2 linked regions of the Macaca fascicularis genome follow. The protein of the gene in region 1 interacts with the protein of each later gene in a biochemical or structural test. Links are inferred from orthologs where the notes say so. Each region holds a gene or a part of one and is shown on either strand. Other genes may lie near its edges.

Region 1 (4,406 bases):
AATATGGTCAGAAATTATATTCTTTGCATTTGTTTAAATTTGTGATAAAAACTTTTAGATATCAATTTGAAAATACACAGAAGAGTCGTCAGATTTCCATTTTAGAAGGATCATTAGCAGCAATGTGGAGAATAAAGTGAAGACAGATAAACTAGGAGGCCATTTGGGAGACTTCTTACAATCCAGACAAGAAGGCATTAGGGCCCAACCTAGGGAAATGGAATGGTAAAAATAGAACACATCCAGGATACAGTAAAGATGCATAATCACAGAGATTTTAACGAAATGTTTTGAATGTGTAACTATGAGGAAGATGAGGAAGTCTTTAATTGACTCAGGTTTCTGGCTGGGAAAACTGGTTTAAATAATGAGGCCACTCCCTAAAATTGGTAATATAGCAGGTTTGGGGGAGAAGTTGAGTTCAGTTTTGGGTATTTGAGTTTGAGATGCTTGTGGGATTGACAGTCTGCGTGATAATCAACCCACACAGCTTTTACAGAAATGAATCTCAGGTACATGAAGTCTTCCAATAACATCATTTTGTACAATGTCATTTCCTCATACTGTTCATGAGAAAAAAAATCAATTCCTGTTTGAGGCCACTGGCTGGGTGGAGTTTGTACATGTTCTCCCCATGTTCACAGAGGTTTTCTCCAGGTACTCTCGTTTCCTCCCACATGCCAAAGATGGGTATGTTAGATTCACTGGCATGTCTACATGGTCCCAATAGACAATGGGTGTGTGTGAGTGCTTCCTGTGATGAAATAGCGTCCGGTCTAGAGCTGGTTTCCAGCTTGTACCATGAGCTGCCAGGATAGGCTCCGGGCACCCACAGTCCTGAGCTGGAATAAGTGTGTCAGAAAATGAATGAATACAAATAATTATATAATAAAAATGGTAAACTTTACAATAATCATACAAATGAATGACAATAAACGATTTGGTATGAAAGGGCTCAGTGAGCTGCCATATTTGTGATTGTTTTTGAACTGGGTGGTTGTAGGAGGTGCTCCAATTTTCAGTTTGCAAACATTTATTCCTTGATTTAGCCCACCACTACTACGACCGAGGTCACTCACTGATACGCCAAACTTGGGTAAATAATTATCTCACTTGTTTTTATTAATCTTTCTCAAATGTATGTATAGCACACAATTATTTCAACATTTAATATTAAAAGTGTTTTGGGTCTTTATTTAGAAGTTCAGTGGTGTTTGTATGACCAAAATATGCCACTGGAACTTAATTCTTGTTTATATCAAGTAGCCTATGGTAGAGTTGGTTTAGTTATACATTGTTTTCCCTAAAGTCACAGTTTCCAAGAGCCTATCTAGACATTAAGTGAGAACTTACCATATAAGAAATAGAAAGTTGTATGTACATAGAAGTGGAAGAAGCCCTGGTTATGGCTGTGATCATCCAAAGGAGTAGGAAGAAGAAGAAAAGGGGCCAAGGAGGGAACACCAACACTGAAGAGGAAAGGAGATGATTCTATAGATTTCAGTGGGTAACATATAATAGTGAATGAATTTCAGTGTCTATTGTGTAACAACGAATGAGTACTTGTGAACAGGAAAGAGGGAAGGGAAAGGTAAACACATGGAGAATTAGGAGAAAATCTGTCACAAAACAGTCTGAACAGCTCCCCCAGGACACACATATAGTAAGGTGTGGAGGTATAATAAAACCCAGGTAGCACTGTGCATACTGTCACTCTTAAACAGAGGACAGAGAAGTAAGTCAAACAAAGTCCCAGAAGAGAAAGAGGAGCATTTAGAGTATAATTACAAAGATTATCTATGAGGGAAAGAAATAAGAATGGTATAAAGTTTCAGATTGCTAGCAGGAAGTTGAGGGACTACTTCTCAGTCTCTTTCTCAATATTATTTTCCTAGACTCATCCCTGAACATAAAAATTCCCTTCTCAGGTTCCTTTTCCACATGGTTTCAAGAGGAAAAAGAACCTCTGGCTATAGTCGATGTTCACATGAGTGAGATTTTATTTCTGTCCAAGGTTAGTCTGCCTACTTACCATCCTTATCAGAAACTTACCAAGAAGTTTAAGTTGATGACACCCAAACCTAGCCTCAAATCTCTTATTGCCAATGTTTTAGCGTAAGAAAGTTAGATTTCTACATATTAACATGGGAATACGTTCAACTTATACCATTAAAGTGAAAAAACAGGACATTTTGATCCCATTTCTGAAAATAATAGATATTACCTCTAGCGTCGAAAACATCTGGAATAATATACTTCAATCTATTAACAGGGGTCATCTCTGGCGGATGTGGTTACAAGCATCTTTCACTCTAAATGTTTATGACCATGTAGTAAACGGGAAAAAAAAGATTTTGATCCTGTTAGAAGCAGATATCCTGTCTTCTCTGCTTGACTGAGTTCCTTAACAGTGGGTCATATTCACTGGTATATACCCATAGCAAATAGCTGGGCTCACTAAGATTCTACAACAAACGAATGAATAAATCAATGAGTATGAGTTTTGACCATCTCAAATAACTGTTGAGAGAAACATATACACACAAATGCATGCATTTTCCCGTTAACGCGCAATGGAGATGTAAGCTGTAAGAGGCCTTGGAAGGCAGTTATTTCGACGTCCATGCCTACGTACGATTTTAAAAGTCCGATTACGATTACAAGTGTTCCGAGGAGATGAAAGCACAGTTTTCTTCAGTAGTCCCAGCTAACACTAATTTACCCTTGCCATGGGAGAACTCAGAAGCTGAGTTCAGAATTGGAGTCGGCCCTGGTCGGAGGTGGCGTGTGTTTCGGGGTAGATGAATCCCGCCAGCCCCGAGCAGCGGTTGGGACCGTTACTCACCATTTCTCAGGACGCCAAGCTGGGGCTGGCGAAGCACCGAATTGAAGAGCATCAGGGCCGGAGGAAAAGGCTCAGCTGAGAGAAAAGTCGTAGAAATGCCTCCAAGTTCAGCAAAAATCGCAGCTTGCGCCTCTCACAACACAAATCGTTATCGCCTCCAACTCCCGCCACTGTAAGCCCCGGCCGCCAAACTCCGCGCCAAACTGACGTCACGCTCTCTGATTGGCTTCCGAGCGACGTCCGGGCGCCTCAGAGTCATTTCCCCCTTCGGATCCCCGCCTCCTTTTCTCCCAGCCGCGGGAACCTGGAGTCCAAGAGCTCCTTGAGCGCCTGCGCAGAGGGCAGCAGAGGCGACTGCGAACCGCGGGGTGACCAGGGCGCATGCGTAACAGGGCTTGACAGCGCGCGGAGGAAAAACCAACAAGAAGGCGGCGGGAGAAGATGGCGGTTCTGGGGTAGAGTTTGCAATCTTTCTGACTAGGCTAGTCGAGTAACTATTCGGGTCATGGCGTCAAACTCAACTAAGTCTTTCCTGGCAGATGCCGGCTATGGCGAACAGGAACTGGATGCCAACTCTGCCCTTATGGAGTTGGACAAAGGTATTCGAAAGAGCGGGCTGAATGGGTGAAACGGGCGTGGGGGGAAGTGGCGCCACCACGTGGTGGTAGCTTCAGAGGACGGGTAGGCGCATGCGCCTATCTTCGCTGGGCGGGGAGTGCCTGTGCTTTTGCTGGGGCGTGGGCTTTGACCCCTTCGGGAGGTTGCGGGAAATTTGCAGGATTGTTTGGCCTTAACCGGCTAAACAAGTGGCGAGCTCTAGTGAGAGGCCCGTTTTGACCACTTGAGGGAACAGCCCCCTATTTTCTAAGCAGTGGACAGTGGCTGGTTTCTAAGAAACACTACAAAGAAATTCTGAAATTGGTTTTCAGTCTGTTCATTTGAGACCAGGTCATCATGAAATGTGCTGAATAGTTGTCTTGCACCGACTTGACAGCGATTCATTTGATTTCCGTAGCTCTGTTACCTGCGGGTTACAAGGCAGGCTAACCATGGCCGAGACCATGCAAAAAGCCCTGCTCATTCTCTGCGGACAAGTTCCAGGAGTTCTGTTTCCTTGCTTACAGGGAGCAGTTTGGTGTAGAAGGAGCTTTGGGGTTGCACTGAGTTAAATTTCAGTGCCGCTAATTTTATGATTAATTTCATCTAGCCTCGGTTTGTCGTCTACCAAGTGGGTACAGTACCATTGAGCTGGCAGAATTGTTGTATTAAGTGACTTAATGATATGCGAAAGAAGCATTTAGTAAATGCTGAAGAGATATAGATATGGATTTGGGACGCAAGGTCGGAAATTTGTCAGTAAAGAACTCGACTGGTGATATGAAACCTGTTTCATATTAAGGATTTTTATTGTACGGGAAACATTTCGGCAGCTGGTATACAATTAAATCTTGATTAATCGTAGCCAATATATAATGTTGGAGAACAGGACTAGAACTCAGAAGGATCTCTGTTTAAGTCCCCTTTGAGCCACTTCCCAGTTTTCTGAGTTGGATATGTCTAT
Region 2 (3,851 bases), on another chromosome or scaffold:
GAACCCAACAGGTGGAGCTTGTGGTGAGTCGAGATCATGCCACTGCACTCCAGCCTGGGCAACAAGAGCAAAACACCATCTCAAAAAAAAAAAAGTGACCTAGCACAGTCTCCCACTGCCGCAAATGTTTTAAACAGCTCATTCTCGGCTGAAAGACATTGCCTTTTTCAGGCAATAAAACCAAAGCTGCTCTCTGTGGGGAAGAAAATTGACTTTTTTTTTTTTTTTTAATGAAGCTTCATCAATTAAAAGAAAAAGAGAAAGAATACTAGACCACTGTGTATCTGAACATTTAACATCAAGAACACTGAAGGAGTCTGCATGAGGGTTGAAATGCTGAAACTGCCAAAGCTGGGGTCCCCACCTCTGTGTAGGATGCAATCTTGAGTGCCTCTCCCAACCTGGTGGTCACTGTGGGGGTGAAGGAGAGCGGAGGGGCAGCCCCAGGTGTCCCTGAGGGGGAAGAGCAGAGGGACCTGCCACGCCCTGGGTTTCCTTCACAGAAAAGCAATAACCACACCTCACTGCAGCAAATATTGACTGCCTGCTGCATAGCTCAGCCCTCTGCAAAAAGGCAGCAGAGGCCCGCACAGGCCAGCCGGCCTGCCAGCCGGTGCTGCTCACTGGTCTGCAGGCTCCTAGCATGGCAGTAGCATGGGAAAGACCAGACAGGAGTGACAACGCTGAGGAAGCAGTGGTGGCGATAGTAACAGTTAGCTGGCACTTACTGAGTGTCAAGCATGGTTCTGAAGGTTCCTCTTGCACCCGCACATTTACTGAATGCTCACCACAGTCCTAGCAGGTACTACGTTATTGTACCATTTTACAGACTGGAGAGCCAAGGCATGGACAGGGTAAGTGACTGGCCCGAGGCTACGCAACCAGCAAGTGGCTCCAAGCCACTGCTCTTTACCATCCTGGGCCACAACATGGAAACTTCCAGCAAACAGATAAGAAAAGCCTCTGAAAGAACAGGCAGGCTTTCCCACAGTCCCAGGCTCCCAATGGCTCTGCCAACAAGTCCTGGAAAATCCACCTTCACAGTTGCGCCAGGCTTTCCCTGCCACATGCCACAAGTCACAAGGTTCCTTCACACAAGTATCTTAACCAAGCCCTGCAGTGACCCTATCAGAAAGGCAGGACAAGCTTTGTGAGGATCCCCGATAGATCCAGGAGAAAACCAAGTCCAGAGGGCCAAGAGACTTGCCTCAAGCTGATGAAAACAAAGCTCAGGACACACACACACACATGCCAAGCACTGCCCAGTGGGCCACCCTGCCCCTCCACGAACTGGAATTTAAAGCACGCAACTACCTGCAGCTCGGCTTTGCTCTTCCTGGAGCTCCTTCGGACAGGGTAGAAATCCGTAAGTTTGCGGTTCTGTTGCGTTTTTCCTTGAGCTCTGGGTAAGGGGAAGAGGAGAAAATAAATATCAGGACTGAAAACCTAGAGGCACACAGCTCCTTAGGAGAAGGCACACACCAAGGAGGCACACAGCTCCTTGGAGATGATGTCACTTAAACACCTTTGTCCACTGGAGCCTGTGGGTCACTCAGTTCACCTGCCCATGAGGGCCTCAGAGGAGTTTCAAAGACAGGCTGCTGGCTGGGCGCAGTGGCTCACGCCTGTAAGCCCAATGCTCTGGGAGGCTGAGGCGGGAGGATCACTTGAGCCCAGGAGTTCGAGACCAACCCAGGCAACACAGCAAAACCCCGTCTCTGAAAAAAGGAAAGAAATTAGCCAGGCATAGTGGTGCACACCTATGGTCCCAATTGCTCGGGAGGCTGAAGTAGGAGGATCACTTAGTCCCAAGAGATTGAGGCTGCAGTGAGTTACTGCACTCCAGCCTAGATGATAGAATGAGACCACATCTCAAAAAACACAAGTCAGGTATGGTGGCTCACACCTGTAATCCCAGCACTTTGGGAGGCTGAGGCAGGCAAATCACGAGGTCAGGAGTTTGAGACCAGCCTGACCAACATGGTGAAACCCCGTCTCCAATAAAAATACAAAAATAAGCAGGGCGTGGTGGCACGCACCTGTAATCCCAGCTACTCAGGAGGCTGAGGCAGGAGAATTGCTTGAACACAGGAGGTGGAGTCTGCAGTGAGCCGAGATTGCACTACTGCACTCCAACCTGGGCGACAGAGACTCTGTCTCAAAAAAAAAAAAACAAAACAACAACAAAAAAACACCAACCACCAAAAAAACAAACAAAAAAATAAATTTAAAAAAGAAGGGCTGGCCGGGCGCGGTGGCTCAAGCCTGTAATCCCAGGACTCTGGGAGGCCGAGGCGGGCGGATCACGAGGTCAGGAGATCGAGACCATCCTGGCTAACACGGTGAAACCCCGTCTCTACTAAAAAAAATACAAAAAACTAGCCGGGCGAGGTGGCAGGCGCCTGTAGTCCCAGCTATTCAGGAGGCTGAGGCAGGAGAATGGCGTAAACCCGGGAGGCGGAGCTTGCAGTGAGCTGAGATCCGGCCACTGCACTCCAGCCCGGACGACAGAGCGAGACTCCGTCTCAAAAAAAATAAATAAATAAAAAATAAAAAAATAAAAAAAAATAAAAAAGAAGGGCTGCTTATGCTGGGGTGGGTGAGGAGGGGAGGAAGGAGAGGCTCTTGAACTCTGAACCCATGCCAGATCCAGAAACTGACAAACAGTGGCATCCCTGCTGATAACTCGGGGCATCTGAGTCTTTGACGTAAGAGAGGCTGAGAGGTGGCCACTGTACCCCCACGGGCACCTGAGCAGGCTTCCCTGGGGTCAGAGGAACCAAACTGCTCCACGTTAGGAAGAGGACTGAAGGGGACACTTACTTTTTTCGGGGCGCCTGTTTGCCCTTGATGGGCTTTTTCAGGGCTTGCTTGGTGATGGCTGCATTGGTGGAATCACAAGATGAGGGTGGAGTTTTTGGAGGTTCTGCTGCTTCAGATTTTTGGTTTGGAAAAGGTGCCAGGGGACCTCTCCTGGCGTCTTTGATCTTCTGTTCCTCGGACTTCATGGCGCTCCGTACTGCATTCCCAGCATTTCTTTTCTCTGCAGGCGGAGGTGGAGGAAAGACAGGGGTTTACTCTGTACTCTGTCTCTCAATTTCTAGACCACCAGCTGCATTCTAAGACAGGCTTTGAGAAGAGAGGATCCTGGGTTTGTCAGGCAGGAGTGCCCTTGGCCTGCTAAGCCCCGTGTCCGCTATGGGCTATGATGGGAGGAGTGCCTAGCTCCAGCTCGATTTTTTGACCAAGACACTGGACAGAGGTTTTAGACTTCTGTGTCTTGACGTGGGAGATAGAGAGCCTGTGAGGCAGAGGCACCAGAGACAGAGATGCTGGCAAGGGCGCTCGATCAATAACTTTCAGGAATCAGGCTGCAGACTCAGATCAAAAGCTCCATTCCTGAAGGCTGGGACGGCATTAAGGGACAGGAGTAAGGTGATAAAGCAGAAACTTCCCCAAGAGCTGCCCGGCACCCTTCATTTCAGACTCTAAAGAAAAAGAAGGCCCCCTTCTAGTGGGGTTGAAGCCCCAGGTTCACAGCAGTTCTCAGCATGGTGCCCCAGCAGACTGGCCTGGGTATCAGGAGACACACGGCAATGATCTGTCACTTAAAACACTTGTGGAGTGCCAGTGTTGGAAAACTGCTTACATTTTTAAAACATGTTTTCCTTTTAAAAAACTAAGTAAATAGGCTCGACACGGTGGCTCATGCCTGTAATCCCAGCACTTTGGGAGGCCAAGGTGGGTGGATCACCTGAGGTCGGGAGTTCGAGACCAGCCTGGCCAACATGGTAAAACCCCATCTCCACTAAAAATATAAAAATTAGCCAGGCGTACTGGCAGGGACTTGT

Evidence for each region.
Region 2: the proteins of DTL (region 1) and KMT5A form a complex in vitro, tested with the Homo sapiens proteins (2 studies listed by BioGRID, with this or other methods). The link is inferred for Macaca fascicularis from reciprocal best matches to the Homo sapiens genes DTL and KMT5A.

What each region holds. Positions count from the first base shown.
Region 1 is NC_088375.1:69,843,503-69,847,908, reverse strand, and holds the start of DTL (denticleless protein homolog), read right to left. Parts: upstream 3,059-4,406; 5' UTR 2,898-3,058; coding exon 2,846-2,897; intron 1-2,845. Other genes in the region: INTS7 (integrator complex subunit 7), read left to right, coding at 3,351-3,444. UniProt on the Homo sapiens protein: Substrate-specific adapter of a DCX (DDB1-CUL4-X-box) E3 ubiquitin-protein ligase complex required for cell cycle control, DNA damage response and translesion DNA synthesis.
Region 2 is NC_088385.1:130,533,474-130,537,324, reverse strand, and holds part of KMT5A (N-lysine methyltransferase KMT5A), read right to left. Parts: intron 3,044-3,851; coding exon 2,824-3,043; intron 1,403-2,823; coding exon 1,315-1,402; intron 1-1,314. UniProt on the Homo sapiens protein: Protein-lysine N-methyltransferase that monomethylates both histones and non-histone proteins. Specifically monomethylates 'Lys-20' of histone H4 (H4K20me1).